Oryzias latipes: one gene and its partners. The protein of the gene in region 6 interacts with the protein of the main gene of each other region in a biochemical or structural test. Links are inferred from orthologs where the notes say so. Each region holds a gene or a part of one and is shown on either strand. Other genes may lie near its edges. The genes, in order: psmc5, nrip1, med1, nr0b2, tada3, retinoic acid receptor alpha-A and ncoa6.

Region 1 (4,267 bases), about 2.5 Mb from region 6:
TCAGCCTCATTTATCTTGTTGTCTTGTAAAGTAGGGTGTTATCAAAGGGAAAATCTTCAGAACAAACATCATATCTGAAATAAAATGAACCCCGGCGGCACTTTTCCAGTTTTTCCGTCTCCCTTTTGTCTATTTAAACGTAGGTGGGGACCTTCCTCGGTGCAGGAAGCATCTGTTTGCTCTTCATCGCCACACTGAGCCGGTTGAAGTAATGTCTGCCTTGTAATGTAAAAACCTTTTTTTTAATGGTACACAAATGTTTAAGCACTGGTTCTTGCCATCCTGTGGTCCTTCACGGGTGTTTTTTTTTTTTTTTTTACTTTCTAAAAGCCATAATTATTCAATGCACCTGTATTTGAATATTTAGCCATACTTTAAATACACTTGCTTCAGAAATGTCTTTTGTTTAAAAAAAAAATGTTCAAAAATATTTTTATGCAAATAATAATTCTGCAATATTTGTCTTTATGTGTGTTGGGGCTGGGTTTGTTATAAAAATCAAACCTTTTCTGTGTCGGGCCAAGATTGTCCAACAAAAAATAGGTATATTTTATAATGGACAACTCTTTGTTTTTGTATTTTCTGAAAGTTTACATTCTGTTATTGATTTTTGGTGTGAATGATTTTAATTACAAAAATCATAAACTATGTCTAGTGTTGTAAATTGAAGCCTCAGATCTTTGACTGGTGTTGACGGTAAAATAGGAATTCAGCTTTATGTGGTGGTCATCAAACAAACTGTTGTGGAAATTCTCTTCCTAAAACTAAAAATTCTAAAAATTCCATGCTCATATGCCAAATGTGCTTTGTGAAATGACACAGCACAACTGTTGTGCAGATATTTTTTTTTGTACAGCTTCTGTGTTTAATGTTTGCATTTTTTTTCAGCTGAAAGTCTTTTATACATTTGACGTATTTTTTACAATAAATTACTTACAAATGCTTCTTTCACTGTTTTTTGGTTAATCATACCTGGTATAAAGGGTGTGTATTTTAACTATCAATTACAAGGCTGCCTTCACTGATGTGGGTTTGTAACTTTAATACGTTAATTTGCAGTTTTCTGCTGTAATTGGATAGCTGCTTTTGAGCCTGTGCGTGTCTGGGCTGGCTGCAGAGCTGGGGTGCTTCTGCAGGCTTACAACAGGTAAGACTGGTTTTAGTAGAAGAAACCCATACATCCCACTCCCTTCCCAGAGCTGCACCTCAGTTAGCTACAGTTGGAAATGTGACACCAGTTCAAAACAAAAACATGACATACAACTAAACAGTTAGTCACTGTTTTTATCTCTAAACTTTTAAAATGTGTGTATATTTGATATTTTTTTTCTATGCTCTAATCTTTTACTGTTATATGGAATAATGCAATAATTAAAGTAGATAAATGTTGTTTTTTGATAGTTTTGTTCTTTCTTGTTTGAATAATTTAAATTGTATTTTTTTAAGAGCGTCATAACAAAACAAAACAAAAACTATCTTAATTGTTGCGCCGCGTTGAAACGCTAGGGGGCAGTGTTATATTGCAAGTGCACTCATGATTGAAGAGGCTGGCCGGATGTGGCAGCTGCTCTGAAGCGGATGCTGAAATTTCAAGATGGAGTTGGAAGGCATCGATCAGGTTGGGTTGCTTTTTTGCTGGTTCATTTTGTTTTTTAAATTGCAGTCCTATTAAAGAGGCTTAAGTGCTGTGCTTTGAAGCCTGCTTCTCCTTTAAGTTGTCGTTGATCTGAAAATATGGTCTATAATGGTTTTAAAAAACAAATTAGTTTTTAACAAAGCTCTGAACCTGCTGCCTGCAGTTGTGTGCTGCCGGTTTGCTGTCTCATTGTAGCTTACTTACAAGCTAAAAAGCGCAGTCAAGTAAACATTCAGCTATTCCTGGTATTATAGGTTTTTCTAACTTACAGTCGTGTATTTGAAGCTTAAAATTCAAAAGTATATGCATTTATATAATATTTTATTTGTTTAAAAAATACAACAACGAACGTTTCCTTTGCTTTGGTCTTGTTTGCTAATACTAGCTAATGTTAGCTTCCGAAGCTAAAGTTAGCTTCCGGTAATATTTTTGTTTTTCGACCTTATTTTGGATCTTTAGCCATACAGACTGTCATGAAAGTCATTAGTTCTCAATGCATCAATGGACAATGCATCGAATAAGTAATTTTAATTTAAAAAAATCTTATTTAAACACGCCAAGTACTTAAGCTAATGGTAATTTTGTTGTTTCTAGTACTTGCTTTACACAATTTCCCCCCCAAAAAATGTTCTCCTTTTATGAGGAAATTTGGCACTCCACGTGGCATGTACCACTTCATAATGTAGTTATTATACTAGTAAAAAATAACTAAATATGATATCACTAACACTAAAAGGCGAACATTTAATTACTTATGTCTGTCATAAAGCTGTTAAATTTCACAGGAAATATTATTCTAGATGGGTTATAATGTTTGATTTTCTTTTCGAAACAGATGGAAATGGGAGACAATAAAGGGGGATCAGGGCTCAGACAGTACTACTTGTCCAAAATTGAGGAGTTGCAGGTAAGAAAATATTTATGAGCTTTTTGCAGATATTTTGGGTCAAAGATTAGGCGTAGAATGCTCTAAGAATCCTCATTATTTTTATTTTATGATAGTTGACAGTGAATGAAAAGAGCCAGAACCTTAGACGTCTGCAAGCACAGAGGAATGAGCTCAATGCCAAAGGTTTGCAGTTTTAGAATTTCTACATTTAGTTTTATCTTGTGTTGAAATATCAGCAATAGTAGATTTGTTAAAAGAGGGTTAATTGTTTGGAGTTGCTCCTCTTTCACAGTGCGTCTCCTGCGTGAGGAGCTGCAGTTACTGCAGGAGCAGGGATCATATGTGGGAGAGGTTGTCCGGGTCATGGACAAAAAGAAAGTGTTGGTCAAGGTGAGCTGTGTTTGCTCTCTATGCAGAAGCTACATTTGAACCGATTGGTTGCTGTTTTAAAAATAACGTTTTCACAAACCCAGGTCCACCCAGAAGGAAAATTTGTCGTGGACGTGGACAAAAACATCGACATCAATGACGTAAGTTTTTGGATTTTTTTGATACTCTTGGTGCAAAACTGCATTTAAAAAAAAATGTGGCTGTTTCTGCACCAGGTGACCCCAAATTGCCGTGTGGCTCTGCGAAATGACAGCTACACCCTTCACAAGATCCTGCCTAACAAAGTGGACCCTCTGGTTTCTCTCATGATGGTGGAGAAGGTGCCAGATTCCACTTATGAAATGATTGGCGGTCTGGACAAACAGATCAAGGAGATTAAAGAAGTTATTGAACTGCCTGTCAAGCATCCAGAGCTGTTTGAAGCTCTGGGAATTGCTCAGCCCAAGGTGGGTGAAATGTATGAGTGTTAAAGTGTAAAAGCTACTAATATATATTCAGACTTTGTGGTCTAAAACCAAACGTCATTTCCAAATAGATCAGCTGTAGACAGAGGCTCACAGGTTCTTTTGTGATGCTTCCTGTTGGCAGGGCGTGTTGCTGTATGGACCTCCAGGCACAGGAAAGACCCTTCTGGCCAGAGCCGTAGCCCATCACACTGACTGTACTTTCATCAGAGTGTCTGGCTCTGAATTGGTCCAGAAATTCATTGGAGAGGGTAAGAGGTCCTCTATCTCTCTGATTCCTAAACTGGATTCATGTCAGGCCTTTAATTGGATTCTCTCCTGTTTTGATTCCAAAAACCGTGTTTCTGTGTCTCGCCTCAGGCGCTCGGATGGTGCGTGAGTTGTTTGTCATGGCTAGAGAGCACGCTCCCTCCATCATCTTCATGGATGAGATCGACTCCATCGGCTCCTCTCGTCTGGAGGGCGGCTCGGGTGGAGACAGCGAGGTGCAGAGAACAATGTTGGAGCTGCTGAATCAGCTAGATGGTTTTGAAGCTACAAAGAACATAAAGGTACCATACATGTCACAGACATACATGTCCTCTGTCCTCTTTACTGTTTTTAACGTGAACTAAAGTCCCCACAAAACTTAACAAAGGCTGTCATGTTCAGGGGTTTTTTCCAGAAAGCAGGTTATGCTAGCTCCCACGGTAAGTTTGAGGCTAAGGAAGTTGATAACCTCAGCTTTCGGTTCCAGAAATGGAGGTATGTTTCAGGATATGTCTAGTTGCCATAGTAACTCATGCTCTGAACATAACCTGGTTTGGAGCAGGTTTAGTTGAAGCTTAGTTTGTTTTCAGAGAGGTGAAGCAGCATGGCGTGTCCATTTGAAGATGATTTAGTGGATGA
Region 2 (4,365 bases), on a different chromosome or scaffold from region 6:
AACTAGACTTATTTTTCTATGAGGGTTTGAACTTTGAAAGTTTAAACAAGATAGAAAAGTGTGAAAATGTTGATGCCTGTCTGAGAAAAGTGGAGAAAGTGTGTAGTGAGGAGTTTCACTGCTTTGAAACATCTCTAATTATTGCTGACTACATCACTTATTTCACCTATCATGGGTTATTTTTTAAATGTAACTCCCGCAATAAATGGGGGATCACTATGCACCATAGAACTGATTATTATTGGATTTTTTTATTTATTCAATTGTAAAGGTGACCATATAAGCATAAACATAAATCAGAATTGAGCTTATTTCTCTGAGATTTCTGCCTGCCAGTAAACCTTTCATGGCTTGTATCCATGTTTACCTGATTTATTTCTTAGTATTACATCTGTGCGTGTATAAGCCCTTGTAGTAGACTTACCAGTTGCCACATTAGAAATGCTAACTCTTTAGTCTTTGGTTCCATCATGTTTACCGAGAACGGACTTGCAAATGTTTTAAAAGTAACAGGAAGTTTGAAACGTACATATAGCTTTCCTCTGAAGTAATTCAGATACAGGAGTTGAACATGTTGACTAGGATTCTGTGATGATAATTATCTGATTTTTGTTGGGATATAAACAGGCTCAGGATATGTCCAGTTGGCATATGAACACCTTCCTCAGAAAGACCCAGAACAAATAAATTGAAGTAAAAAAAATCGAAATAATTTTAAAGTTAAGACAAAGAAAAATAATCCGAGCTGGATAAAGAGTTGGTGAAAGCAGATCACTCAGGACTGACCCATCAGAGTCATATTTTCTCTGACCTCTGGTTCTACAGTGAATCCCAGACTGTGGCTGAAAGTACGCTGACCTTTCCTGTTTGAAGTGTCTTTTAAGTGACTGTGAGTGAAACAGAAAGGTAGAACTGGATGAGAAATCAAGCAGTCAGGGGAGAGTGAAGCCTACTCCCCCATTATCACCACCTCAGCCCCCCTCCTGCGTGTGCACAGCTGACCGTAGGGGTAAAAATCACTTTTGAATGGTGCCTGCTCTGTCATTGGCTGACATTGTCAAGGATAATGGATAATCACCACTGAACAGCTCATGGGTGCTGTGGTTTTCACAGCATGGGGAGGGAGTGGAGGTCAGCCTTTTTGGGGACCACCAACAATGAGACTACATGTTAACTTTGCTTCTTATACCTAAGGAATAAATACAGTTGGTTTTTGCGAAAACGAAATGTTTCAAAAGCGTATTAATGTCACAGATGTGTTGTGTATGCACTGATGCAGTGTCGGGATCCCTTCTCTGCCCTGCTAGCTCTTTATAGAAGTGTCTTTGGGCAAAAACACAGACAAGGTCAACTGTAATTCCAAGGGTTCACTGCCAGCAGCAGGGAGATTAACAGAATTCCCCGTGTTGAAACTGTGTCAGCGTTTCTTTTCCGTTCCCAATTTCCTCTCACTGACTAGAGGGCTCTATCGCAGCATATTATTCATTTAGCAAGGCATGCTGAAGGTAAACATGTTTACCGCTCTGATCAAACACGGTCACACAAGGCCATTCTGTTGTGACTGTGTTAAGGTCAATGACGGGAAAACGGTCCTAATCCGTAGCATTTAAGATTAGCATGACAACAGACGTCAGATGGCCCACAGTGACCAGGTTGGCCTTTGTTATTTTCAGATTTAGGTCAGCTGTTTAAAGATGGCCTTAAACTGATATTGATGCTTATGGGCCAATCTTTGACTCTTTTACTGGTGTAGAATGTAAGTTTAAAAGCCTAATCTCTTTGTGAACTGTTGGTTGCAGCCGGTTTTAAAATGGCTAACCTGTTTGTTTTTCTTCTGCTGCTCAGACTTAATTATGCCCTAATCAACTTAAATCCAGCACCTAATCCTAGTTCATTTCCAATGTGGCATTTTAAAGTGGAAGCCAGTTTGTCTCACTGTCATGGCCTGATACGGTCAGTATCGGGCCAGCATTAGAAAAGAATTTCCGACTGAATAGGAGTTCTGTGCCTCATTGTTTCTAGTCTTTTCTCAGCTGTCTATGAATGGTGTTAGAGTAGGTTGCTGTGGTCTCAGGTCATAATAAATGGGTTCTGTCCTGTCACGTGACCAACTATGTCGGCCCATGGAGCGGACTCTAAAGGTGAGGGCATAAGGGACACAGACAGCAGCCGAGGCGAGGTGGAAACTCTGTATTAATTAACCTTTATGAGATGCGACCGGGACTGTCAGAAGTGTCCTGTATCCACGGAAACCACTCTGACAGAGTTCATAGCAGAGGTCTTTTAGGGCAGCGTCACTGACACTGTCATGGCAACTGGCACAGGGCTCACCCCCATGTCACCAGCTCTGCCCTCCTGACAGTGGACGGGTGTGACAGGCGCAGCCGATTATCTACACAAACACAAACACACTCATTCACTTAACATTTAAGTCTAACTTGTCTGTCATTACCGTGCTGTGTTCCCCTCTGATCATCACAGTTTCAGGTTAAAATGGTTCAAAGGTGTGAAGGGGATGTTAAAGGGGAGCTTCTTAAGGACACCAATACATGCATCACCTATATTGAAGCATAAACAATCACAAAATCCTGATTGTGCACAAGTAGGTGGGCGGACCCCAGCTCAAGTGCATAAGAAGCAGGAGGCGGTGGAGAGGGATAATCGTCTGAATTATGAGGCGCAGAATGAAATATTCAGAGCTTTAAGACCCCTCACATGTGAAAGATACTGCAGGGAGATGCTCAGATCTCAGTACTTGTATGGTTTGAAGGTAGTGGGCTTGAATTTTCAGTACAAATTTAATCAAGCCTCATCTGCATTTATTGTCAGTTAGGTGATTGTGAGGGTGCAGTGAGGAGAAGGAGGGGGAGGAGCCTTGTGCAGTTACTCTGAAATGTTGCTAAGTAACAGAGATGGCATGAATGATGGTGGAATAAATGTTGTACAGTCCTGTACAAAGTCCTGCTCCTGACACGGTTTCTCCTCTTTCTCCCCTCTTTTCCCTTCCTGTCATATTTCCCTTGCCCTCCTCTCTTCCTCTCACTCCTGTAGGTCTGACTGGTGAGATCTTCAAAGCCTGAAGACAGCACCACAGCCAAGCAGACAGACGGAAAGTATCTACAACCTCAGGATGTGTCAGCGCCTCCGTGAAATCCCGCTGATTCCCAGTTTTCTACTGACATGAACCAGAAGCTCTGCCTTTTTTAATCCTGCGATGCTTTGGAGGCTCACCTGTCCCTCACTGCCTCTAGGCATGGATCCGGTTTCATGAAGCTGCTGATTGTGACCACCACCAAGGCATTCAGCCACCACATTCTTCCCCCCATCTGGATACACATTTGGTGCAACTTCACATCCTCTTTTTCCGATTAAAGTAGTACATTCAACTGCCAATCTGATGACTGAGATGACATTAATTTCCCAGTAGCATTGCTAAGCTATACCAGGGGATCTGAGTGTTGAACATGACTCATGGGGAGGAGCCTGGCCCTGAGACACACAAGGATTCAGCTGTTCTAACTTATCTGGAAGGTTTACTGATGCATCCAGTGGTGGCCGGGCCTGGGGCCACGGCAGGTGGGAGGTCTGAGGCTGCTCACAGCAATCAGGAGCAGGGCGACAAGAGGGGTGGAACCTTCCAGCTACCTAGCCATGGTCCCACTACGCCAAAGGCTGGCACCAATGGGCCCACGCTAGGCTCTTCACAACATCTGAAGAAAGCTCGTTTGCTGCGCTCTGGAGCTTGGAATGATCCAGGGAACCAAAGGATTAATTCGCCTCAAATAGAGCTGAATGGCCAAGTGGGGGGGCTACCAAATGGAGCTCTAGATGGATCTCCTCATGCTGGTGAAAGCACCCTGTTGGCTTCTCTGTTGCAGTCATTTAGTTCACGGCTTCAGAGTGTTGCAATGTCCCAGCATGCTAATAAGCCTGCTAGTGAGTGTCCCTCTTCACCCAAGCCACCACCATCAGACAAAGAGCCACTACCTGTTTATGGGACTGCATCAAGCCGCTTGAAGGGTCTGATGAGAAAGAATAAACTTCAGAACCACAACAATACCCCGTACAGTCGTCGGGGCCATAATCAGGAAAGGAACACAGAGTCCCCTCGGTCAACACACAGCGCCACACCTCCTGCCACTCCCACAGCTACTGAATCGGTGTCCTGCGCAGACCGTTTGAAGGCAGTGGCAAACATGGTGAAAATCCGTTCCAGCCCAGTACCGTCCCCCAAGCCGAGTGTTGCCTGCAGTCAACTGGCCTTGTTGCTTTCCAGTGAAGCCCATCTCCAGCAGTACTCTAGAGAACATGCACTCAAAGCCCAACTCTCAGGGAGATCTGCCAGTGAGAGACTAGCTGCCATGG
Region 3 (4,365 bases), about 5.2 Mb from region 6:
GAAGAAGAAGAGAGGGAAAACAGAAAAGAAGACCAAGTGGTGGAAGCTACAGAATGAAGAAACTTGTGAGGAATTTAGGCAGAAGTTGAGGCAGGTCCTGGGTGGTCAGGATGAGCTTCCAGAGGACTGGGAAACTACAGCAGAGATTATCAGGGAAACAGGTAGGAAGGTGCTAGGTGTGTCATCTGGAAAGAGGAAAGACGGTAAAGAGACTTGGTGGTGGAATGAGGAAGTACAGGAATGCGTCCAGAGGAAGAGGTTGGCTAAAAGGAAGTGGGATGTAGAAAGGACTGAGGAAGGTAGACAGGAGTACAAGGAAGCGCAGCGTAAAGTGAAGAGAGAGGTGGCAAAGGCCAAACAGAAAGCTTACGATGAGCTATATGACAGGTTAGACACAAAGGAAGGAGAGAAGGACTTGTACAGGCTGGCCAGACAGAGAGACAGAGATGGGAAGGACGTGCAACAGATAAGGGTGATTAAGGACAGAGATGGAAAGGTGCTAACAACCCAAGAGAGTGTACAGAAAAGATGGAAGGAGTATTTTGAGGAGCTGATGAACGAGGAAAATGACAGGGAAAGAAGGGAGGAAGATGTGGTTGTTGTGGAGCAGGAAGTAGCAGAGATTGGAAAGGATGAGGTTAGGAAGGCTCTGAAAAGGATGAAGAGCGGAAAGGCCGTTGGTCCTGATGACGTACCTGTGGAGGTATGGAAGTGCCTAGGAGAGACAGCAGTGGAATTTCTAACAAGGTTGTTCAATAGGATTTTAGAGAGTGAGAAGATGCCTGAGGAATGGAGGAGAAGCGTTCTGGTCCCAATCTTTAAGAACAAGGGTGACACGCAGAACTGCAGCAACTATAGAGGAATAAAGTTGATGAGCCACACAATGAAGCTGTGGGAAAGAGTAGTGGAAGCCAGGCTTAGGAAGAAGGTGGAGATTTGTGAGCAGCAGTATGGTTTCATGCCCCGTAAGAGCACCACTGATGCCATTTTTGCTTTGAGAATGTTGATGGAAAAGTACAGAGAAGGTCAGAAGGAGCTGCATTGTGTGTTCGTAGATTTAGAGAAGGCGTATGACAGGGTGCCGAGGGAGGAGCTGTGGTACTGTATGAGGTCGTCTGGAGTGGCAGAGAAATATGTTAGAGTAGTTCAGGACATGTATGAGAGAAGTATGACGGTGGTGAGATGTGCTGTAGGTCAGACAGAGGAGTTCAAGGTGGAGGTGGGACTACACCAAGGATCAGCTTTGAGTCCTTTTTTGTTTGCTATGCTGATGGACAGGCTGACAGACGAGGTAAGACAGGAATCTCCCTGGACAATGATGTTTGCGGATGACATTGTAATTTGCAGTGAGAGTAGAGAGCAGGTGGAGGAACAGCTAGAGAGGTGGAGGTTTGCTCTGGAAAGAAGAGGTATGAAGGTCAGTCGTAGTAAGACAGAATACATGTGTCTGAACGAGAGGGATCAAGGTAGAAGTGTTAGGTTACAGGGGGCTGAGGTGAAGAAGGTGCAGGAGTTTAAGTACTTGGGGTCAACAGTTCAGTGTGATGGGGATTGTGGAAAAGAGGTGAAGAGGCGAGTGCAGGCAGGTTGGAGCGGTTGGAGGAAAGTGTCAGGAGTGTTGTGTGACAGAAGAGTGCCAGCAAGACTCAAAGGAAAGGTGTACAAGACAGTGGTGAGACCAGCTCTGCTCTATGGGTTAGAGACGGTAGCAGTGAGACAGAGACAAGAGGCTGAGATGGAGGTAGCGGAGATGAAGATGTTGAGGTTCTCCTTAGGAGTGACCAGGTTAGACAGGATAAGGAACGAGTACATCAGAGGGACGGCTCATGTTGCCTGTGTTAGCGACAAAGTCAGAGAAGCCAGACTGAGATGGTTTGGACATGTTCAGAGGAGGGATAGTGGATATATTGGTAGAAGGATGTTGGAGATGGAGCTGCCTGGCAGGAGGGCAAGAGGACGGCCAAAGAGGAGATACATGGATGTCTTAACAGAGGACATGAAGTTGGCTAATGTTAGGGTAGAAGATGTCCATGATAGAGTGAGGTGGAAAAGGATGATTCGCTGTGGCGACCCCTGATGGGAAAAGCCGAAAGAGAAAGAAGAAGAAGAGTATATTTGTAAGAAATTAGGTTATCTAGTAAGAAAACGAAAACACCATTATGATCCTCATAGTTAGTAGTAGAAAAAATCACGTACCTCTCTCAGGAGCGCCGAATATGTTGAAACTGACTTTATGTCCAGTAGGAAGAAAAATAGTCGTCATTTCCGTTGTGCTGAGGAGGTTAATATTGATATGCTGCGGCTAATGCCGTCGCGCTGTGGTTAATGCCGTTGTGCTTCGGGTAATGCCGTTGTGCTTCGGGGAATGCCGTTGTGCTTCGGGTAATGCCGTTGTGCTTCGGGTAATGCCGTTGTGCTTCGGGGAATGCCGTTGTGCTTCGGGTAATGCCGTTGTGCTTCGGGTAATGCCGTTGTGCTTCGGGTAATGCCGTTGTGCTTCGGGGAACGCCGTTGTGCTTCGGGTAATGTCGTTGCGTTGTCTTTTTTGTATGTAGTGTGAGCTCTGTCGGCCACCGTAGGTTTATATTATTAAAGCTTTTCACAAATGCTCATAGTTTCTTTGGTTACATAAAGAACAGACGCTTTAAATATTTCTCCCTTAGAAAGCAACGTGTCATTTTAAAATGTCATTACTTTTAGCTGAGCCTAAACAAAACAAACTGCTGACCTAAGATTTCAGTAGATGCTCTTCTTTGTATGTAAATATACTGACATTTTTTAGAGGTGATAAATTGGGAAATTACTTTTGACTATTTTTTAGTTGCATTCTACAGCAATAAAATATTTGTTATAACTAAGGGTTTAAGCCTTTGTTTAAAGAAGGTATATAGTGATACTACCTGACTATTAACTGCCTAAAAAAATACAACTCAACCTTTTTATGAAAGTAATCAGGTTATGTTGTCCTTTATAAGATATATAATCAAAGTTTTGTATTTTTTAATCTGTTTTTTTTTTTAGGAAAAAAATAAATCCAATGTGTAAAGGAAAAACAGGTCAGTCATTATAGGCTTAACTGTATTCTGTTTCTGTCTTTTAGAGGCAGAAAAGCAGAGTCGAACGGTTGCTCTGTTAGAGAGACTTCATGCTAAACACAATGCTTCCCGACCATGGCAGGAAACATGCAAAGTTGTGCGTCAGGCTATGGTAAGACAGATATTCTATTATTTTCCAATTTTCCCACAATATTATACATACTATAAAAATATTTCTAGATTACTGCACATGCTCAGAGTGCAGTAAAAGTTCATTTACAGCCTGTTAGTGTTCTTAGTTAAGTATGTAATAACAAGCACAAAACAGCTTAAAGAAGTTATTTCTTTACTGACCTCCCTTGGTGACATTTAAATGTCAGACCAAGAGTGCTGGCTACGCAAATTAAAAGCAAGCCCGATTTGGTTGTATAAAGCATAATCATTAATTTCAACATTTTATTCTTTTTTTTCCTCTCCTTACTCGTGTTGTGCCTCAGGAGAAACGCGGTGTGATGAATGCGGCAGGTCACCAGCTCCTGCTTAACTGTTTGGAGACCCTGCAGAGAGCACTAAAAGGTGAGGGTCCCGTCCCACAGTGCAAAAAGAAAAAGAATGAATAGCTAACGTCGCAATTCTTTCATAATGATTGTTTTGTCTCTTAATCGGTAAAGCCGTGAAGGCTTCAGACAATTACTTTTTCACTTCAGCTTTATATTTTCCTCCAATTATTTAACTTACGGGTGAAAGTAAATACAAAACATACGCAAACTGTTGTGTGTGCAAAACATGTCAATATTGTAAAAATTACTTGTTATTAGATTACGTAGAAGAAACACATGATATATATATATTTTTTTTTTCAGTGTCATCTCTGTCTTCAATGACGGATCGCCTGGAATCTATTGCACGACAAAACATGTAACTTCATAAATTTCTTTTGGCCACTTAATATATTATTGTGTATATATATACAGTATATCAGATGACTTATACATTCATAAGGCACTTTTAGAAACCTGACACAATCTATACATAAAACTTCTTTCTTTTCCCCCTGTTTTCCTCTTTGCACAGGTTGGGCTCTCATCTGAGTCCTACAGGGACAGAGTGCTACATCACTTCTGATATGTTTTATGTGGAGGTGCAGCTGGACTCAAACGGTCAGTTGGTGGACGTCAAGGTGGCTCATCAAGGAGAGAACCCTACAGTCAGTGTTTGTTTTATTATTCAAACTCCCAACTAGCACTTTTTAATTGGAAACTACAATACGATATATACAAATAACTAAAAAAGTTCTTCTTAAAAGTAGCTTTTTGGTCTCTTTTTACCA
Region 4 (4,228 bases), on a different chromosome or scaffold from region 6:
TTTAAACATCAAACATTAAATAAAATATACATTGATGACTCAAACCAGCCTGCTAGCATCCACTTTAACACCCACTTCATGCTTCCAAGCCTGATTTCTCTTTATTAAAATGTGATTACTAACCTGTGAAAAGTGATTCCTCTCGATCGGTTTATTTTCTTGTCATCATTTTTGCAGTTGATTGTAAAACATTGCGTCCCCATTTGTGATTCTTTGCGTGGCTGTTTGGAGCTCGAGTCTATGCATTCAAGACTGAATGCATAGACTATTCCAAAGTGTATGGAGAAAGGGAGTTCCAGCAGCTTGTTTTCATTTGAGTGAGCTACAGAACAAGTCTCAAACAATATTGCTTTAAAACTTATGTCCAGATTAAAAGCAAATAATTTATCCTAAGGCATTTGAGTTTGAGCCGGGTAAGATTGAAAAAATACAGTGTGTCCCAAGTACCGGGTTTAGAAACACAACCTTAAATGACTCACAGGACACAGCACTTCTATATTTGTCCAAGGTTTGTTGGGCAAGTATTCAACCTATTGACCCAAAGCAACTGTGATTTGAGATTTTGTTGAATTTCATGTCAAGAGTTCGTCATTTTTAACCAGTCTGTTTCTTTTTATTTGTGGAATTTCAAAGGGTTCTTATATCATCCAAAATCAACTTTTTTGAGCTTTAAGTGTATTGTAATTTTCATTCCTCACTGTAAACAACCCCAAAGGGGTATTTTGATCCATTCATGCATTTCTGAGCATTCCTCTAAAAACCTGTGCTCTGAGCACCAGCCCCTCCCAACCCACAACAACGAGTGGGTCCTCACATTGTGACGTCTCAAAGTGAGGAACAGCCCCTTCCAGAGTCTGCGCTGCAGCCCCAACCCCAGGGTAACACACATCCACTTTCTCTAGCTTATTCTGTTTCTATGCACATTCATCTTTGCAAAAGTTCGGATATTGTTTGTTTTCGAGGGAAAAACGCAGACACGCTGCTGTGGCTGACTCTAAGTTGACATCATGAAACGGGCGGACCCACCAGGAGAGAAAGCCGGTGCCTCAGAGATCGAGTCATTCTACTTCCGGGTATGAAATGAATTGTGAAAATAACTCATATTTCATAATAAAAACGTTCTTTAGGGCCAAAAGAATATATATCACATATATGGATATAGTTCACTCTGGAAGGCTCAATAAAAGCATGATGAAGGCCCCTTAAAAATAGTTTAGAGTAGCTTCTTTTTTATTTCTCTTTTAGTTTAAAAGCCAATACGTAGAATTTTCTCAAAATTTTCTCCCATATTGTCTAGTTTTACCACTGACTGAAATGACACTGTACTTTTGAGGATTTAAGTCAGGGGTCAATGCCCTCTTTGTGCCCTGGCCTTGTTCCAGTTTCACAGGTGTGATCTGGCAGGTGTAGTGACACAGTGTGGGTTGGATTACCACTGCAGTCCTTGGTAGCTTGGTACAGCCTGGGTTAATGACACTTGCTGGCAGATAAGGCCCATCCTTTTTGATATGTGTTACTCCAGCAGCTACTTTCATTGAGAAAATCTTATCAGTTTCCCAGGGTTGTTCCAGCAGTCACCTGGCAAAGCGAGCGGTTGTTTTTCACATCGAGTGTATTGACATTTCAAGGTCCACTGAACGGAGGGGGGTTGGCCCTATAAATATAGAAGAGGCAGCAGCACCACTCAGGAGCTCATGAGGAGTCTATCTGTGAGAGGACGCACGCATTCATCACCATTATATGTCATCGGGGGGAAAAAGATGGATAGCAGATGCCATTGCTTAACCAACAATGATAGGGTTTTGAATCCCATCCTCTACAACATCCTGAGCCAAATGGACAGCAGCATGCAGAGCCAAGACTGCCTCAACTACATCTCAGTGCCTCACAGGTGCAACTGCGAGGTGCGCCGGACACTGTGCTTAAAAAGTCCAAGTGAGATCTGCAAAGAAGCCTCAGCAGTTCTGGTTAAAACCGTCCACTTCATTAAGAGCCTGCCTGCGTTCAACCAGCTGCCACTGAGTGATCAGTTTGCGCTGTTGAGAAGCTGCTGGGCTCCCCTCTTTATTCTGGGGCTGGCTCAAGAACATGTGGACTTTGAGGTTACAGATGCCCCCGCTGACAGCATGCTGAAAAAGATTCTTCTGAACCGCCAGGAGAGCCCCGAGGCTAAAAGGGAGCAGCCCACCATGGCAGGCGTCAGCAAACTCAAGTCTTGCCTCAAAAAGTTTTGGAGTTTGGATTTAAGCCCAAAGGAGTATGCATACCTGAAGGGAACCACGATATTCAATCCAGGTACGAAGGTGCTGGATTCAGTAAAAGGATGAAGTATGTGTGTGTGCGTTAACTGACTTTACTCGTTTTCCTCGTCCACAGACGTTCCGGAATTAAAGGCTGGATTGTTTGTGGAGGGCTTGCAGCAGGAAGCTCAGCACGCCCTGAGGGAGGTGGTGCAGCTCCTTCACCCGGGTCGCGAGGAGCGCTTCGCTCGAATCCTGCTCACAGCTTCCATGCTGCAGGGCATCACACCCACCCTCGTCACCGAGCTCTTCTTCCGGCCCGTCATAGGCCAGGCTGACCTGCTGGAGCTGCTGGTCGACATGCTCTTTTACAGATAAGAACAGTGGACCTCAGCTGAGGGACTTTAAACCACATGACACCCAGGCTGGGAAAGGAATGTTGGACGGCTGCTGTGAAGCAGATTATAAAACCCCACAAAAAAAATGTAGATTTGATGAACAAGCCACCATGATTGCTCACATTCACGCAAAGCTGAGGTCACTTTATCTCTGTGTCAACAGATTTCCTTCCCCTAAGTAGAAGGATTTTCACACAGTGGCAGACTTGTCTCTTTCTATTAGAATATTTGATTTTGTCAATCTTTTCTGTTATTTCATTGTTGTAAATATGTGTCTTTTGCTTTTACAGGAAACTTCAAATAAATATATTTTTGTACACAAATGACAAATTACAGCCTCACGCTCTTGACTCACACCAAGCCAATGCCACTGTCACACTTAATCTGACAAATTCAGCTGTTAAACGCATATTATTGAGTCAAGATGTTGCTAAACTCAGATTGACAAATTTCTTAGTTGCAGTTGGATCTTGTTGGTGAACGTGGATATTTATCCACAAGAGCTCTTTCTTTTTCAAAAATGATGACAGGAATGTGTCACAGAATAATATTTCTTGTTCATTCCGAAGCTTTGTCTCCCTCTATTGGAAAACACATCCACAAGCAAATAAAAAGAAAGATCCTCGATCCCATTTCAACCTTATTTTACAATCTTATGATACGCTGAGAAGAAAAGGGTAAATCCAAGCCAACAAAGCAGTATTGTCTTAACAATCTTCATGCAAAAATCCCCACAGAAGCTGTTCACATTCATCCATTCTGTGGTATGATGGTTGTGAAACAGTCTCTCTTTACTTGACACCATATACAGGTAAAACAGGAATGCTGATGGTGGGGGCAGTGAGCCAGGGGAAATGGGGTAACACAGCACAAACAAAACATTTAAAAAAAAAAAAAAAAAAAGAGCTGGTGGTGGAAAATCTCCACTTTTTTCCTGCGTTTCCATCTTTTTAATTGAAGTCTTATCCCTTCAAGACTGTGTGAGAGGGATTGCCTTTTATAGTAGTTTCTCAAGCTGAACTACAACTGTTTATTCTGTTCCAGCAATTATAAAACAGACCCTGAGCAAATACATGTAGCAGCATTTTGCATTATACTTTCACTGATAAATATTTGTTTGGCCAAACAGATTTAGGACGGGTTCTCGGAAGATCGTTTTCTGCACCATTTCTTCCTTTGCAATAAAAGACTAAAGTAAATGCCAGGATTTTATTTCCTTTCTGTAAGAACCAGTCCAACAAGTTCTTCTCATCGCTGAGGGCTGAAGAAGCCTGCCTGCTGCAACACTGACCTCAGGGAGACTGACAATTAGGAGGAACACTAGGGTAAAGACTAAACCTGAAAAAACATTTTTGTAGAGGGACATATCATTTTTAATGAAACATAGACCTTGTTTTTTCAGAAAAAAACCATTGAAAGGCTTTGCAACAACTAAATTATGTGTGTGAGTCACAGTCAGAGGCTAAAAAACATCAAACTTCTTTTATTAAAAAACCCGTCTGAATAAAAAGCCATAAAGGTCCATCGATTTTTATTTTATTAAAAACACAACTTGTTAAATATTTTTAAAAAATGAGGCATAATGGCACA
Region 5 (5,067 bases), on a different chromosome or scaffold from region 6:
GCTGATCTCCTTGTCAATCTCCTCCATGAAGTGGATGACAAAGTCCACCAGCTTGTGTTTGTACATCTGCTCCGTGTGGAAGTTGGTAATCAAGAAACTAATATCATATCCCTGTGAAAACATTTAAAGATAATTTGTAAAAGATTTTACAATAGAAGAGCATTTTGTTCAGAAAAATGCATTTAAGAACAAATCTTCTAGAATATTTAAGCATTAAATGTCATTCGAAAGGATGGCTGTGAGGACTCCTTCATCCAGGATAATCTGGACTCAGTTTTTTTTTAGGTTGGCGACCCTTTATCCAGGAAACCTTCTCAGTATCTTCAACTTAAAAAACGGAGCCCAGATGACCATTTAAAACGGTTTTGTCTTTTTCAAAGCAATAATCCGTTCCTCATTTCCTCAACAATGACTCTGTTGTCTGTTTTAAGCACAACTGAACTGATTTATCCCCCACCTCCACTGGCTTCCTTCTCAGAATGAAGAAGTTCTCCGCTCTCATCATCATGAAGCGCATGAACTTGTGGCAAAGGATCTTCTCGATCTCATCAGCCTGTGATCACAACACAAGTGTTTTCAAATACTGTTCCTGCAAATCCTGGAAAAAAACGTATTATATTGTAGAGATTTTTTTAAGGACCTGCTTCACAGCAATGCTGACTCTGACAGAGTTGATGGACCCTTCGATGAACACCTTCTCCTTGTCGTTACGACTGATCACCACCGGTTGAAGCAGCAACTCCTTGCTGCTCCTGTAAACACATGGCCATCAGATCCCTTCAGCTTTCAAATCTCCAGCTGCTCTGTCTCACTTTGTTAGGAGGACATCTGCAGGCAAGCTGCAGCTAGCTACATTTGGTGCGTCCATGTCTTTTTTTCCCCTTCCCACAAATATTTTCCAGTACAAGTCCGCACAGGTCCGAACTTGTGTGAAAGCAGCTGACGAACCACAATCGGAAAAGATGCAACAGCAGCAAGCAACAACAACAATATAAAAAAAGAAAGGCTTGCAGTTGCTGATGTGACACATACCTGACCTCCACCTCAGGCTTGTTGTGGCGCTCCACCACCTGAGAGGAGAAATTCTCCAAACAGAGGGCGGCCTGCAGGGTGGCCCTCACAGCATTCAGGTAGGGGCGCAGAGTCGCTGTCTGGAATGAGCAGAAGATCAGTATGTGAAGGAATCCTGCTTTACTGAAACACTAAGGGATCAAGGCTGATATAAGCACCAATTAGAACATTACATTTCCATGCCATTTTTTATCATTTCAACCAAATATTGTGATTAGTAATGAATTAAGCCATTAGCATGTTTCTTTTCTCTAGTTTATTGTAACAGAGGATGGGATTTGGGGAGATTTCTAGAGCAACATTTTAGTAAAAAATGTGATCATCTCTTCTTTTTTTTGTATCTTTTAAAGATTGCCGGGTGACATAACAGACAAAAAAGAGCCTAAATGAAAAAGAGGCTAACAGGAAAAGGCAGCTCACGTCTTCTGTCACTCTAGTCTAGTTTCTGCATACCTACATGAAGGATGCCTGCCCTCCGATAACTAGATCGAACCACTAACACCGGATAAAGATCTAGAAGCTAGCTAGCTTTTCTCACATTAATAATATCCATAGTTGCTTGGAATAAAAAGCTAAATTGTAAAATATAAGCGAAAATATTATGCATCAGACTTACCATTTTGAGCAGTAAAAGACGGAAGTTCCTCTGCCACGCCTGGGACGGCTCTTCCGTAAATCCTGCATAGTAGAGTAACGCTAGGGTGCGTTTGTTTTCTTGTCTTCGTTTGATGAGGTCGACAGTTTCTCGGTGCGCAACTCATCTAGCAGTTTTGCTTTGTGGCTCCACCCATCCAGAAAACACGTTATAAGAAACCGAGCAAACCCAATCGGACTTCAATTTCACTGTACAACGGGGGAGACGTTTTTCTTCAGTGACAATTTAGGCTTGTAATATCTACACATTATTTAATTTTTTGCCTCAATATTAAATTTTTATAGTCATAATTGTACTCGTTTCATATAATAGCATTTAAGTTGAAAACATAGTGGCTATTACTTGACAAATTCAGATTGACCTAATGGTTTCTTCCGACAGTACCATCACAGATGCAGCTTTGGGCGTTTTCTAGATTTCGTAAAATGCATTTACCCATTTTCCATATTTTTTGGCATTATGTCTTTTCTTTATATGTATTATTCTATACAAATGCTGAGACAGCAACTGTGTTCACTTCAAGGTGATATATTAAAAAAAAAGCCTACAAAAAACACCCCCACTTGCACGATGGTATAATCCATCATGGGCACCTTCACTGACGGTAAATATCGTTGATCTTTAAAAATTAATTACGCGTCTGTTCTTGAAGTGTGTGGCGTTAAAAAAACGTTTGTGTTTATATAAGCCATTTCTAAGCAGTTCGCTGTGTAATTAAAAATGTAATTTGGGGGCAATTCTGGCCGGCCGCTGGTTCAGCCCCGCTCGAGTGTGTCGTGTGTGATGCGTACGTATCTATGTGTTGTGTTTTTAATGAATTAATTATGGCCAAACGTGATCAGGATGAACTGTGTGTTCGTTTCAGATGGTCTGTAAATTACCCCGCTGTTCATCATTTTGCGTCAGTTACATCAGACTAACGGCTCCCTGCCAACAATCAACATCATGAGCGAGCTGAAGGACTGTTCCCCGCTGAAATACTACGACTTCAAGCCCGTGGATCATGTCAGGTTGTGTCCCCGTTACACCGCCGTGCTGGGCCGCTCAGAGGACGATGGCATCGGCAGCGGGGAGCTTGATACTCTGCAGCTGGAGCTGGAGACGCTCCTGTCTTCAGCCAGCCGCCGCCTGCGAGCCCTGGAGGAGCAGAGACAGGTAGGTGGACGCTCATCCATTCAGCAGCAGATGGACGCAACATTTGATTTACCGCATCGCTTTCATCCTTCCAGATCCTCACAGATTGGCAAGACAAAAAGGGAGACAAGCGCTTCCTTAAAATGGGAAAAGACCCTGATCCTGCAGCCACATCCCGCCACAAGCCCAAGAAACAAAAACTGGATGGGAAAGGAGCACATGGACAAGGACCTGGTCCCGGAAGGCCCAAATCCAAAAACCTGCAGCCGAAAGTTCAAGAGTATGAATTTACAGATGAACCACAAGATATCCCGTGCACCCCCAAAAATGATGCTCCCAACAGGTCAGCACGAGGCGCTTTTCACACCATACTTATCTTTTTCGGCTTCAACCTTGCTTCACTGTTTAGTTTATTTGTTTTGGTGGATTAAAACCCTTTTTATGTTTAATCTGTTTACTTTTTACTTTTTTTTTTCCAGATTCTGGGCTTCAGTTGAACCGTATTGTGCAGATATTACCAATGAAGAAATACGACTGCTTGAAGAGCTTCTTAAGCCCTTAGAGGACGAGGCTGAGTATTTCAAAGTATGATTTTAAAACTTTTAGTTCACTTAAGGCAGTGGGGCTTCTAGATTCAAAGCGATACACACCTCTCCCTCAAAAGAAACCCTTAAAGTTCTATGTTCTTCCCTAAATACTTCTGTTTCCTAACAGAGTTAGGTAGGACTTCATTTGGTTCTTGGCAAACAAGCCATGTCCGAATTCTGTCAGTATGACCTGAAAACCAGATCGAAAACTTAAAACGTCACCAAATAAAAAAGATAATTAGTTGTGGGTCTGTGTACATTTAAAGACCACTGGGAACGCTGTGAAAATGGATCAAAAGAGGATCAGAGTGACTTTTTTAGATGCAAATTCATCAAACTTCTACTCAACATTTACAAAGTATTCACTTTACTGAACTTAAGACCAATTTACACAAAAACCCTTTTTTCATCACTTCAGTACAAGTTAACCAAAACAACATTGTAGCTAAATGAACTTGGAAATATTTAATGGTCTTAAAAATTGTAGGGTTTTTTATCTAGTCAGACATAAAAACATTTTTGCTCTAATAAGAGCAAGAGAAATATAAGCAAAGCTTGACCCATTAGTTTGTCTTGTTATGAGCCTATTTTTATTCATTGAAGTAATTTATTCCTGTGCATAACTTAATGTTGGGAACTTTTTTCTCTCCACCTTTTTAAATAAGGTAATTGCCTTACTAGCTACTCCTTTTATTATTATTAGACTACATGTAAGAAATGTACCGGTATATATCACAGGAAAACGGTTCTAAAACGAGCTTTAATGATGCGTCTATATAACAACAAGTAAATACATATTATGCAAATACTTTCTTGTGATGTTAAATATAAAATTTTTTTAAATCACTGAATAATTGCTAATCAGTTCTCATCCCTCCTTGGTTCTGAATAATTTTTTAATTCACGTTAAACAACCCTAAAGGTAACGTTTGATGTCACCATTTAACCTCACGACGCCTGAATATTTTTCCAGTGATGAAAAAATAATTCACTTATGTTTTTGCTTTCATGTAGATGCTAAATTAAGATATTTTTTTTTATCATTTAAAAAACCAGACTATGTAAAAGACCTTGTGCAGCCGTACACTCCCAGCTGGTCCCTGAGATCATGTGACCAGGGTCTGCTGGTTGTTAAGAGAACCCGGTTAAAAACTAAAGGTGACAAAGCCTTTGCAGCGGTGGCTCCATCCCTCTTGGAACTCCCTTCCTCTCAGCCTCAGATCTGCAGACTTTGAAAACCAGCTAAAAAACATATCTTTTTTTAAATTAAAAGGTGCTATATAAATAAATAAAAATATTATCAATTTTGGAGCAGAAGTGGTTTGATGCATATTTGCATCAAGGGGTGAAATGACTGAATAGTAATGTGACTTGTTAGACGATTGCCTGCACACAATGTGGAGCAAGAATCAAACAGAGCTTTCTTGGCGTTGATATTAACCTTAGATTCCAGCGCTGGGGAAACACTACTCCCAGAGGTGGGCTCAAGAGGATCTGTTGGAGGAACAGAGGGAAGGCGCACGAGCCAATGACAAGAAGAAAGGCATCATGGGAGGTCCACTGTCAGAGCTGGATGCAAAAGGTGAGGAAAAGTTCAAAATTGATGTTTGCTGTAATGGT
Region 6 (4,365 bases):
GAAAATATCTATTTTTCTTGAAACCAGGAGTGTTTACTTAAGATTCGCTTTTTGCAGTGCACGACTGATCGAAATGTATTTCATCATCTGACCTTAAGTCTATTCTTTTTGTAATGCCTTGTTTTGCGTCCCCTTTCACTCGGGGCATCAGAAGTCACCTGCTTCCACCAAACCCTGCCAGGTAACTGCTGAACTGACATTATGAGCACTTTCTTTGTTACTTTCTGCTTGCTCCCAACAATCCGCCTTTCTCACTGATGCAGTCTTACTTGGCATTGCCACCTGGCAGCAAGCCTGGAGCTGTTGTCTGGAGCTGTCTGCCAGCATACATAAGGTCACCCGGACGTCCCTCCGTGCTAGCAGGGGGTCCAGCCTTCTGGATGTGTGGGTGCACGCTCTCTGAATGTGGAACCGTCCCAGCTCCTTTCTTGTTTATCTTTTTTCTTTCTTTCTTTGCATTTTAATTCACTCCACTCCGTGTTGTCACCTTGAACCTGCGTAACGCCGCAGTGAGCGGGTGAGCGTGCATAATCGAGCGCTCTGACGGGCGCGTGCCCCGTGCTGTCGGAGAGTCCCTGCAGGCTGCAGATGGTTCGCGTCTCCGCTGCCTCCGGCACCGACCCAGACCAGTTTGGCGGGCCAAAGTCACTGCTGTGACAAAAAGTCGAGCAATCTGCCCACTCTGCACAAAATGTTTGGGCTGAACAGGGCTTTATTATAAAACAGGAGGTGTATTTATCGGACATGATTAGCAAAAAAGGAGTCCCTTCGAAAAAAGAAATTCTTCAAAAGTTTAGTTTTTCTACCACTAGAGGGCACTCTAACTCCACCTTTTGTGCTGTTTGCCACCAAGTGAAATTGGGTGTAAAAGAACTGGCTGCTGTGGTGTTTCTAACTATGATTAATGGCACCGTTCAAAGGTAAGGAGCTCAGAGGATAACTTTTTTTTAACTGTAAGCAACAGTGCTGTGGATATGGAGGGGGGGGGGGGGCATCAGTAGCAAAGACATAATGTGTTTATAGGCAGGTGGGGAGAAAGGACGCAGTGCATTTATAGCTCATGGCTGCGGGCGCCGCCGCGTCATGTGATCAGGTGAGGTATAAACCCTGCTGGCCTTTGAGCTCTCCGTGGTCACACCTCCACCAATTACTTCATCAAGTCTGACTGCCCGTGTGTGTGTGTTCACACAGCCCCCGGGGTGCAATGATGGGAGCAGACGCCTGCTCTTTCACTCTCGGCAGGTGAGAACATATTCATCACCCAGGCCTGCCAAGTCTGGAGACACGGCGACTGTTGCTGCCCGTCTCCATCGCTTCTGCCCTCGCTGCTACCAACACGGTTTATCCTGCAGATTAAACAACCAAACGCAGACAAAACTCTCACCGGGCTAATGCTGCAGCTAATCATTTGAAATAAAATAGGATTTGTGGGAAGCTGATGGATGGAAGAGCTGGGGAGGAAAAGCTTTCACAGGAATGATGAGGAATCCATCTCGGACATAATGGCAGCTTCATGATTTCACAGGACAATACGATGGACAGTCTTGAAAAAAAAAGATCAATTGGCCATGAATACACACACCTGAATTAAAGCCAGAGCTTTCATTTATTTCTTATTTTTTAAGAAAATCACTGTCCAAAGCGTGGGTGGAGATTTGAATCTGCAGTTACTACTGTCACATCAGAAATACATCATGAATGACAAGCATATAGTATTAAGATATAAAATATACTTTTGTTATTTTTGTTTTGAAAATTGTAACCGGATTTTAAAGCTCTAATACAGGAAAAAATGGATACACCCTCAAAGTGGATTTTCTAATCTTAGTATTTGGAAAAAACATTAAACAAATCATCTGGTTCAGGGCTTCTTTTTGTCAATTTAGGTAAAAGAAGAAGAAAAAAATACTGCTTTTCTTTTGAAAATCTTAAAAATAAACTCCAACAAACAAGAGGTTCAGCCTTTTGATGACCTTACAAAAAAAACTGGAAAAGGTTTTCAGTTATTGAAGCTTCAGAATTCACAAATTACTTATTTTCTTTTTATATTTTCATTGTTTTTCCCTCCCCGTCAATGAAATGTGTTGTACCTTTTGGATTAGTCAAGTTTTGGTATAATTTGGCTCAATTTATGATTAAAAAACAAGAAAAAAATATTGTTTTTTTCATAGTGCATTATCTAAACCAAATCATTCATTATTTTATTATTGCAGCCTAAAACTAAAACACCACAAGCATGACAAAGTTTAGGTAACCCACACAACATGATTAAGGGAAACAAGGAGATAAATTGAGGTCCTAAAAGGTTAAATAAGAACAAAAAAAGTATTAACTTCTTTCTTTTTCTGTTAAAAAGTCTATTTAAATCTATGAAATCTGTATGAAAAGGCCAACTATGGAATTAAGGCAGAAATCCATAAAAACTTAACTTTTGTCTAATTCTAGCAACGGAACAAACAAAAAAGTTTATTTTGCTCAGATTTAATTGAAACTTCTCAGGCCCTTCTTAAAAAATCTTTGGTCTATTACATCTTTTTAAGAATAAATGTGTTTATTTAGGCTCATTGTGAGCAGCAAAAAGATTGTATTTAAAAAAAGAAGAACAAAATCTGATCTCCTGAGACACAGAGCCTCTCTGACCGCTTTTATTTCTACGGTCAAAAATCGAACCAATAAACCCAGCAGTCAAATAAAGAATTATTCCACTGCATTGATTTTCAGCTGTAATTTTAAAGCCTTGAAAAACACAAAAATTGAACCAAATTAATTAAAAGCTGCAAGCAGGAGAACAAACTCTGAACTACTGCGATTAAACCCAACAACATGAGATCCTGTGTAGGTGGGAACAACGGGGATCTTTACTCACATTCCTTCGACATGCCGACTTCCAGGCACTTCTGTAACCGACAGTACTGGCAGCGGTTGCGGGTGACTTTGTTGATGATGCAGTTCTTCTCCCGGTGACAAGTGTACACCATGTTTTTCTGGATGCTTCTCCGAAAGAAGCCCTGCGTGGCAGAAGAACGCAGCGGTGAGGCTAAACAAACCACAGCACGGCTCTATAGGATGCTGCTACACCTTTAATCCAGGTAAAACAAAGCAGCATGTTTTTCAGGATGAAATAGGGGTTGATATTAGGAAAAAGCCAACAATACCACACACCGATGCAGATGAAAAGCACTAAACCATCAAGCAGTTAAGTCCATAAAGGGCTTAATCTGAGACATATGGCGCATTCCATTTAGAAATGAAGCCGGAAATGGCGGTGGCTTCTTCCCCGAGCCAACAGCATTCCAGTTTATTACAGAAAACCAGCGGAGCTTGCTCATTTGCCAGAAGAACTACTGTACTGTCAACAGTCGTATAGGCTCATAATGTTGCCCACCAGCTTGTCTATATAAGGTTTAAAGGAAAAAGAAAATGCTTTTGAGATGTTAAAAAGCCTCAAAGGGTTTTAGGTCAAAAGCCACGTGGTTGGCACACAACTGTGACCCAGTTCAGAAAGCTTCAAATAAGTCATTGTCGATCCAGGCCAGCAGACAGAGGCGTGCAGGAAGAGTTCTGCATCACAGGGTTGTGTAAGGCCAATAAATGCATCTGTCCTCCTAAATCCAAAAGTTTCCTCTGATTCCTTGGGATTACAAACACAAATAAATTCATGTACCAGAGGAATTTTCTCTGCAAATGTCAAACCAAACATGATTCCAAAGCTTCCTTCTATTTTTCTCGTTTGGGGCGTTGTAAACACATACCCATGTGACACTCGACAACAATAACAAATCAGCGGAGAAGCATCTAGTTATTTTTAATACCATGCGACCGAGGAGAAGAAAGTATTTGCGTTAATCCCAGTGGTTCTGTTGATTAAACATGTGTGTCAAAAAGATAAAAAAAAAAGGGGTTAATGCAAATCAAGAACAAGTGGGTAAGCAGGCAGCGAGCCTGGCTGTGGATGAGAGCGCCACAGGTCAGGACTGATGTAACCGAGTGGGTAATGTTTTGATGGGCAGCGGCGGCGGGAGATAAGAGAGGGAGGGGGAGCTTCCAGGGAGCCTCATCCCACGCCGAAGGATTAGCTTTGCTAGCCGACAGATGGCCGGTGGACGTAAGCCCTACGGTTTGTCCTTTGGAGATCACCAGCCTCTTCTCACATCTCCTGTCCACCACCACAGAGGGGAAGTGACTCCCGTTTCAGATGGACTACAAAAGGGAAGCCTGCCTGGCCTGCCATGCTTCTTTAAGTTTTGATGGTTTCTATTTAAGGCTGTGTCCGAATGGTTCCTCGTTTATAAGAGATCTGGAAAAGAAGCCCTCTTTATTTTATGACTATCCATATACATGTTTTAGGGCTGTAAAACTCCTCAC
Region 7 (3,220 bases), on a different chromosome or scaffold from region 6:
CGGACAGTTGGCACTCTGAGCGGCACCCTGGATGCTACTCACAGCAAAAAGAAAATGGCGCAGAGACTAAGTCCCCATCCCCAATTCGGCCACTTTCGGACCCAAAAATCTATATATTGCATGTGAATGCAAGCGAACGAAATGGTGCAAAATGAACCTCAAACCGGGCTCTGTCTGGAGGCAACGTTTGCTTCAAAAACTGAGGAGGGGAAGACCCCATTCTAGACCCTGTTTTTGAACAATAGCCGCAAGAGTGGAGGAGAAGGGACTTAGTCTCTGGGACGCCATTTCTGTCCTTTAAAACTAAACAGTAGACAGGTATACTAATACAATAACAAATATTAAAATGCATGATTAAACGACCTACCGCTTCCATTGGCTCCACAGTTGACCTGAAATTTACAAGAGAAAAATGTTTTGAGTGTGCGAACTTTGAGAATGCCGGTACTTCGATTGTTTTAAGTTCCAATGGTCACAAAACTACTTATTATAAATGCGTATTTATTCTTAAAAATTAAAAAAAATTAAATTGATGCATTGTTTTGAAACCCATCACTACAACAGCTGAACTTCTAACGTTACCGGACAGATTTTCTGCCATTCTTCTTATTCTAACGGTTATTTCTAGTGTTGTTTTAGTTCTTGCAAAAAAGAATGAATGCGAACTCTCCAAACGGGGAAAACAACTACCTGGGAGTCTCGATGTCCATGATCTCCACTCATGTCCGAGCTGGTTTTGTTTGGAATGCAGGTTAAATTGTTGACGGATGTTCAGGATGCTACAGTATTGGAAAGAGGAGGCTGCCTGGGAGCCTTCACTGACAGCACAAAAAAAATGGAGTCCCTACATTTACCCACTGCGCATGCTCCGCGCGCACATCATCCCAGACAGCATAAACACATCCATGACACCTCTGTCTTTTCAAATCACATTTTAGTAAAACCTGTTTAGTTTGGCGAGTCTAAATACTTTCTAATATTCTTTTCAGCTTCTAGTGTTATTAGTAAATAATAATTTGGAGCAAGGAGTCAAAATAAAGGGCAAAATGAATAACTTTGAACACAAAAGTCGACACAGTTTCACAGAACGAAAGCAGTAGAAAATGTATTTCCATTTTACAACATAATTACACAGTCATAACAAGTTTTATAATCAGTCTTTGAAATCAATCCAGCATTTCATATAAAAGCACATTCACACAAACTGTATGCACACACTAGCTACAATCTCACAGGATAGCATGAACAATTAATATTGAAACAAAATGTACATGGTTGTTTTCTTTTTTCCTCCAGTAAAATTTCATAATCCGAGCAACAAAACCACCTGCTTCACAGCAGACAGAGAAAAAAAGTTACTTTACAGTTCACAGCTAATCACAACTGCAGTTGGATCTATTTAGACTTCCTTCGCTTGGCTTGAGTGGGGCTTGCTGCAGTTTCTGTAATAAAAACAAAAAACTTCTGTATGTAGGAAGAGATAATATCTTTCAAATTCAGATGAATGTTTCTACCTTTTGCGGCGGAGCTGGTTTGAGGCCTTGCTGATCTCTTCCTGCTGCTGCTGTCTGCTACTGGCTCCTCATCCACCTCTTTCTCAGCTCGGGAGCTGCGCCTACTTGGTCCCTTGGGCTTTTCCACTGCAGCTCTGAGAGAAACGGATATAAAAACAACAACGAACAGGAAAAAGAAAGACAAGGTACAGGTGTGTTACAAACAAGCCAGGGTGTTACACTACTGCTCTAGTCAGAGCAAACTAATACCAATTAGGACTGTGCTGTTTTCCTCATCTACCACAGATGCCGTCCGTCTTCATCCTGACAGCATCCACTACGTTGACATAGTCACTGCTTGTGTCTTTGAAGCACTAACACATTCAAATACATACCTTGGGACTAAGTTGATGGGCGTCTTTCTTTTCTTTGCCCATCTGTGATAGAAGTGGAAATGCAGCTGTAAACTATCAACAGCGCTGAACAAGCAAAGCTTCACTTCCCCACCATATATTATTTCAATCCCAGGAAATGAGATGTATTCTCAGAGGTCATGGTAACGACCAAATTAATTTAATCATGAGCTTTTCCTTCAGTCATACATTGTATATTCATGTAACTGCCCGGCGAACATACACACCAAATGCTGAGGCCTTTGTTTAACACAAACCCCATGCTTAACCAAATAAACTCCCTGAGTTTTAAAAAAAAAAGCATTTTTGTTAAGAATAAAACAGCTTTTTCAAGATCAACACTAGTGGATCTAATAATCTCAGTAAGTATAAACAATCCCATTTTTTATTGTATTTTTTTAAGGAATGCAATGTTGACTCTTCTTCCTCAGAGGGTTTACAGTGTACTTTGATTTATTGTTCCATGCAGCAAACGAGGAAGAACATAAAAAGTGAGTACAGAAAAGTAAAATGACTGTAAACAAAATGTCTCATTTTATGGCATCCACTATTAAAAACAAGCAACAGTTTAAAAAACAGAGAAATCATATTCCTAAAAAGAAAGCAGTATTTCTTCTTTTTGACATAAAATCCACACAAATAATTTTTGAAAAGGACATATTGGGGATGTCAAAACAAACCTAATTCCTTCTATAGAGGTGCAAAACAATAAGAAGCAACATTAACAGAAAATATGATATGTATGGTTAATACAGCTTTGCTTAAATATTACTCCAACCGAATCTTTTGTGAATGGAAGGTTAAACATTATTATGGTGCTGAATGTATTTTGTTACTTAGATTCTGAAGTAACAGCTACCTTACCTTCTTGTTAGACATCAACATAACACTGAGAGTCAAGTATAAACATAACTCAAAGCGTTTCCCTAACCAGACAACTGACTCCACTAAATTGAAGCCATACAAGGTGCTATCAAACAGTTACATAAATAAAGCACTTGGTTATCTGGTTTCTGTGTTTACACTGTTGAAGTTGTGCTAACATTAATTTGTAACAGTAATAAAAATCAAAAATCATTCACTGCGAGGCTTTAAAATTAATTTAAAAGACCCTTTCAGATGAAAAAACTTGCTTTTTGGTGTTTTTAAAATTCTTGTGGCAATTTTCTGATGAGGACATATATAAAGAATAATAAGATTAAAATTGTACTTCTGTGTGTCTTTATTTCAATCACTGTAAAGCAGTGGCAGACATAAAAATCTGCATTAAAAAAGAGCTAATTTGTGAAACAGAAAATAGTGAGGGGAATGCTC

What was found.
Region 1: the proteins of retinoic acid receptor alpha-A (region 6) and psmc5 form a complex in vitro, tested with the Homo sapiens proteins (2 studies listed by BioGRID). The link is inferred for Oryzias latipes from reciprocal best matches to the Homo sapiens genes RARA and PSMC5.
Region 2: the proteins of retinoic acid receptor alpha-A (region 6) and nrip1 form a complex in vitro, tested with the Homo sapiens proteins (4 studies listed by BioGRID). The link is inferred for Oryzias latipes from reciprocal best matches to the Homo sapiens genes RARA and NRIP1.
Region 3: the proteins of retinoic acid receptor alpha-A (region 6) and med1 are reported together in a solved structure, tested with the Homo sapiens proteins (2 studies listed by BioGRID, with this or other methods). The link is inferred for Oryzias latipes from reciprocal best matches to the Homo sapiens genes RARA and MED1.
Region 4: the proteins of retinoic acid receptor alpha-A (region 6) and nr0b2 form a complex in vitro, tested with the Homo sapiens proteins (2 studies listed by BioGRID). The link is inferred for Oryzias latipes from reciprocal best matches to the Homo sapiens genes RARA and NR0B2.
Region 5: the proteins of retinoic acid receptor alpha-A (region 6) and tada3 form a complex in vitro, tested with the Homo sapiens proteins (2 studies listed by BioGRID). The link is inferred for Oryzias latipes from reciprocal best matches to the Homo sapiens genes RARA and TADA3.
Region 7: the proteins of retinoic acid receptor alpha-A (region 6) and ncoa6 form a complex in vitro, tested with the Homo sapiens proteins (3 studies listed by BioGRID). The link is inferred for Oryzias latipes from reciprocal best matches to the Homo sapiens genes RARA and NCOA6.

Annotation. Positions count from the first base shown.
Region 1 is NC_019877.2:6,907,828-6,912,094, reverse strand, and holds the start of psmc5 (26S proteasome regulatory subunit 8), read left to right. Parts: upstream 1-1,467; 5' UTR 1,468-1,594; coding exon 1,595-1,618; intron 1,619-2,471; coding exon 2,472-2,543; intron 2,544-2,638; coding exon 2,639-2,708; intron 2,709-2,817; coding exon 2,818-2,915; intron 2,916-2,998; coding exon 2,999-3,055; intron 3,056-3,130; coding exon 3,131-3,361; intron 3,362-3,503; coding exon 3,504-3,630; intron 3,631-3,739; coding exon 3,740-3,930; intron 3,931-4,267.
Region 2 is NC_019872.2:2,653,889-2,658,253, forward strand, and holds part of nrip1 (nuclear receptor-interacting protein 1), read left to right. Parts: intron 1-3,051; 5' UTR 3,052-3,464; coding exon 3,465-4,365. UniProt on the Homo sapiens protein: Modulates transcriptional activation by steroid receptors such as NR3C1, NR3C2 and ESR1. Also modulates transcriptional repression by nuclear hormone receptors.
Region 3 is NC_019877.2:9,656,852-9,661,216, reverse strand, and holds part of med1 (mediator of RNA polymerase II transcription subunit 1), read left to right. Parts: intron 1-2,196; exon of another isoform or gene 2,197-2,365; intron 2,366-3,100; coding exon 3,101-3,207; intron 3,208-3,532; coding exon 3,533-3,611; intron 3,612-3,898; coding exon 3,899-3,953; intron 3,954-4,109; coding exon 4,110-4,242; intron 4,243-4,365. UniProt on the Homo sapiens protein: Component of the Mediator complex, a coactivator involved in the regulated transcription of nearly all RNA polymerase II-dependent genes.
Region 4 is NC_019874.2:9,914,576-9,918,803, forward strand, and holds nr0b2 (nuclear receptor subfamily 0 group B member 2), read left to right. Parts: upstream 1-1,692; 5' UTR 1,693-1,694; coding exon 1,695-2,295; intron 2,296-2,376; coding exon 2,377-2,618; 3' UTR 2,619-3,265; downstream 3,266-4,228. UniProt on the Homo sapiens protein: Transcriptional regulator that acts as a negative regulator of receptor-dependent signaling pathways. Specifically inhibits transactivation of the nuclear receptor with which it interacts.
Region 5 is NC_019863.2:25,385,135-25,390,201, forward strand, and holds the start of tada3 (transcriptional adapter 3), read left to right. Parts: upstream 1-1,915; 5' UTR 1,916-2,330; intron 2,331-2,367; exon of another isoform or gene 2,368-2,513; intron 2,514-2,591; 5' UTR 2,592-2,671; coding exon 2,672-2,881; intron 2,882-2,955; coding exon 2,956-3,203; intron 3,204-3,339; coding exon 3,340-3,445; intron 3,446-4,893; coding exon 4,894-5,029; intron 5,030-5,067. Other genes in the region: actin-related protein 2/3 complex subunit 4, read right to left, coding at 1-111, 458-553, 641-752, 1,033-1,151, 1,688-1,690. UniProt on the Homo sapiens protein: Functions as a component of the PCAF complex. The PCAF complex is capable of efficiently acetylating histones in a nucleosomal context. The PCAF complex could be considered as the human version of the yeast SAGA complex.
Region 6 is NC_019877.2:4,426,803-4,431,167, forward strand, and holds part of retinoic acid receptor alpha-A, read right to left. Parts: intron 3,009-4,365; coding exon 2,867-3,008; intron 1-2,866. UniProt on the Homo sapiens protein: Receptor for retinoic acid. Retinoic acid receptors bind as heterodimers to their target response elements in response to their ligands, all-trans or 9-cis retinoic acid, and regulate gene expression in various biological processes.
Region 7 is NC_019865.2:14,787,146-14,790,365, reverse strand, and holds the end of ncoa6 (nuclear receptor coactivator 6), read right to left. Parts: intron 1,931-3,220; coding exon 1,889-1,930; intron 1,649-1,888; coding exon 1,515-1,648; intron 1,443-1,514; coding exon 1,396-1,442; 3' UTR 1,079-1,395; downstream 1-1,078. Other genes in the region: DNA topoisomerase 1, read right to left, coding at 368-392, 691-723. UniProt on the Homo sapiens protein: Nuclear receptor coactivator that directly binds nuclear receptors and stimulates the transcriptional activities in a hormone-dependent fashion. Coactivates expression in an agonist- and AF2-dependent manner.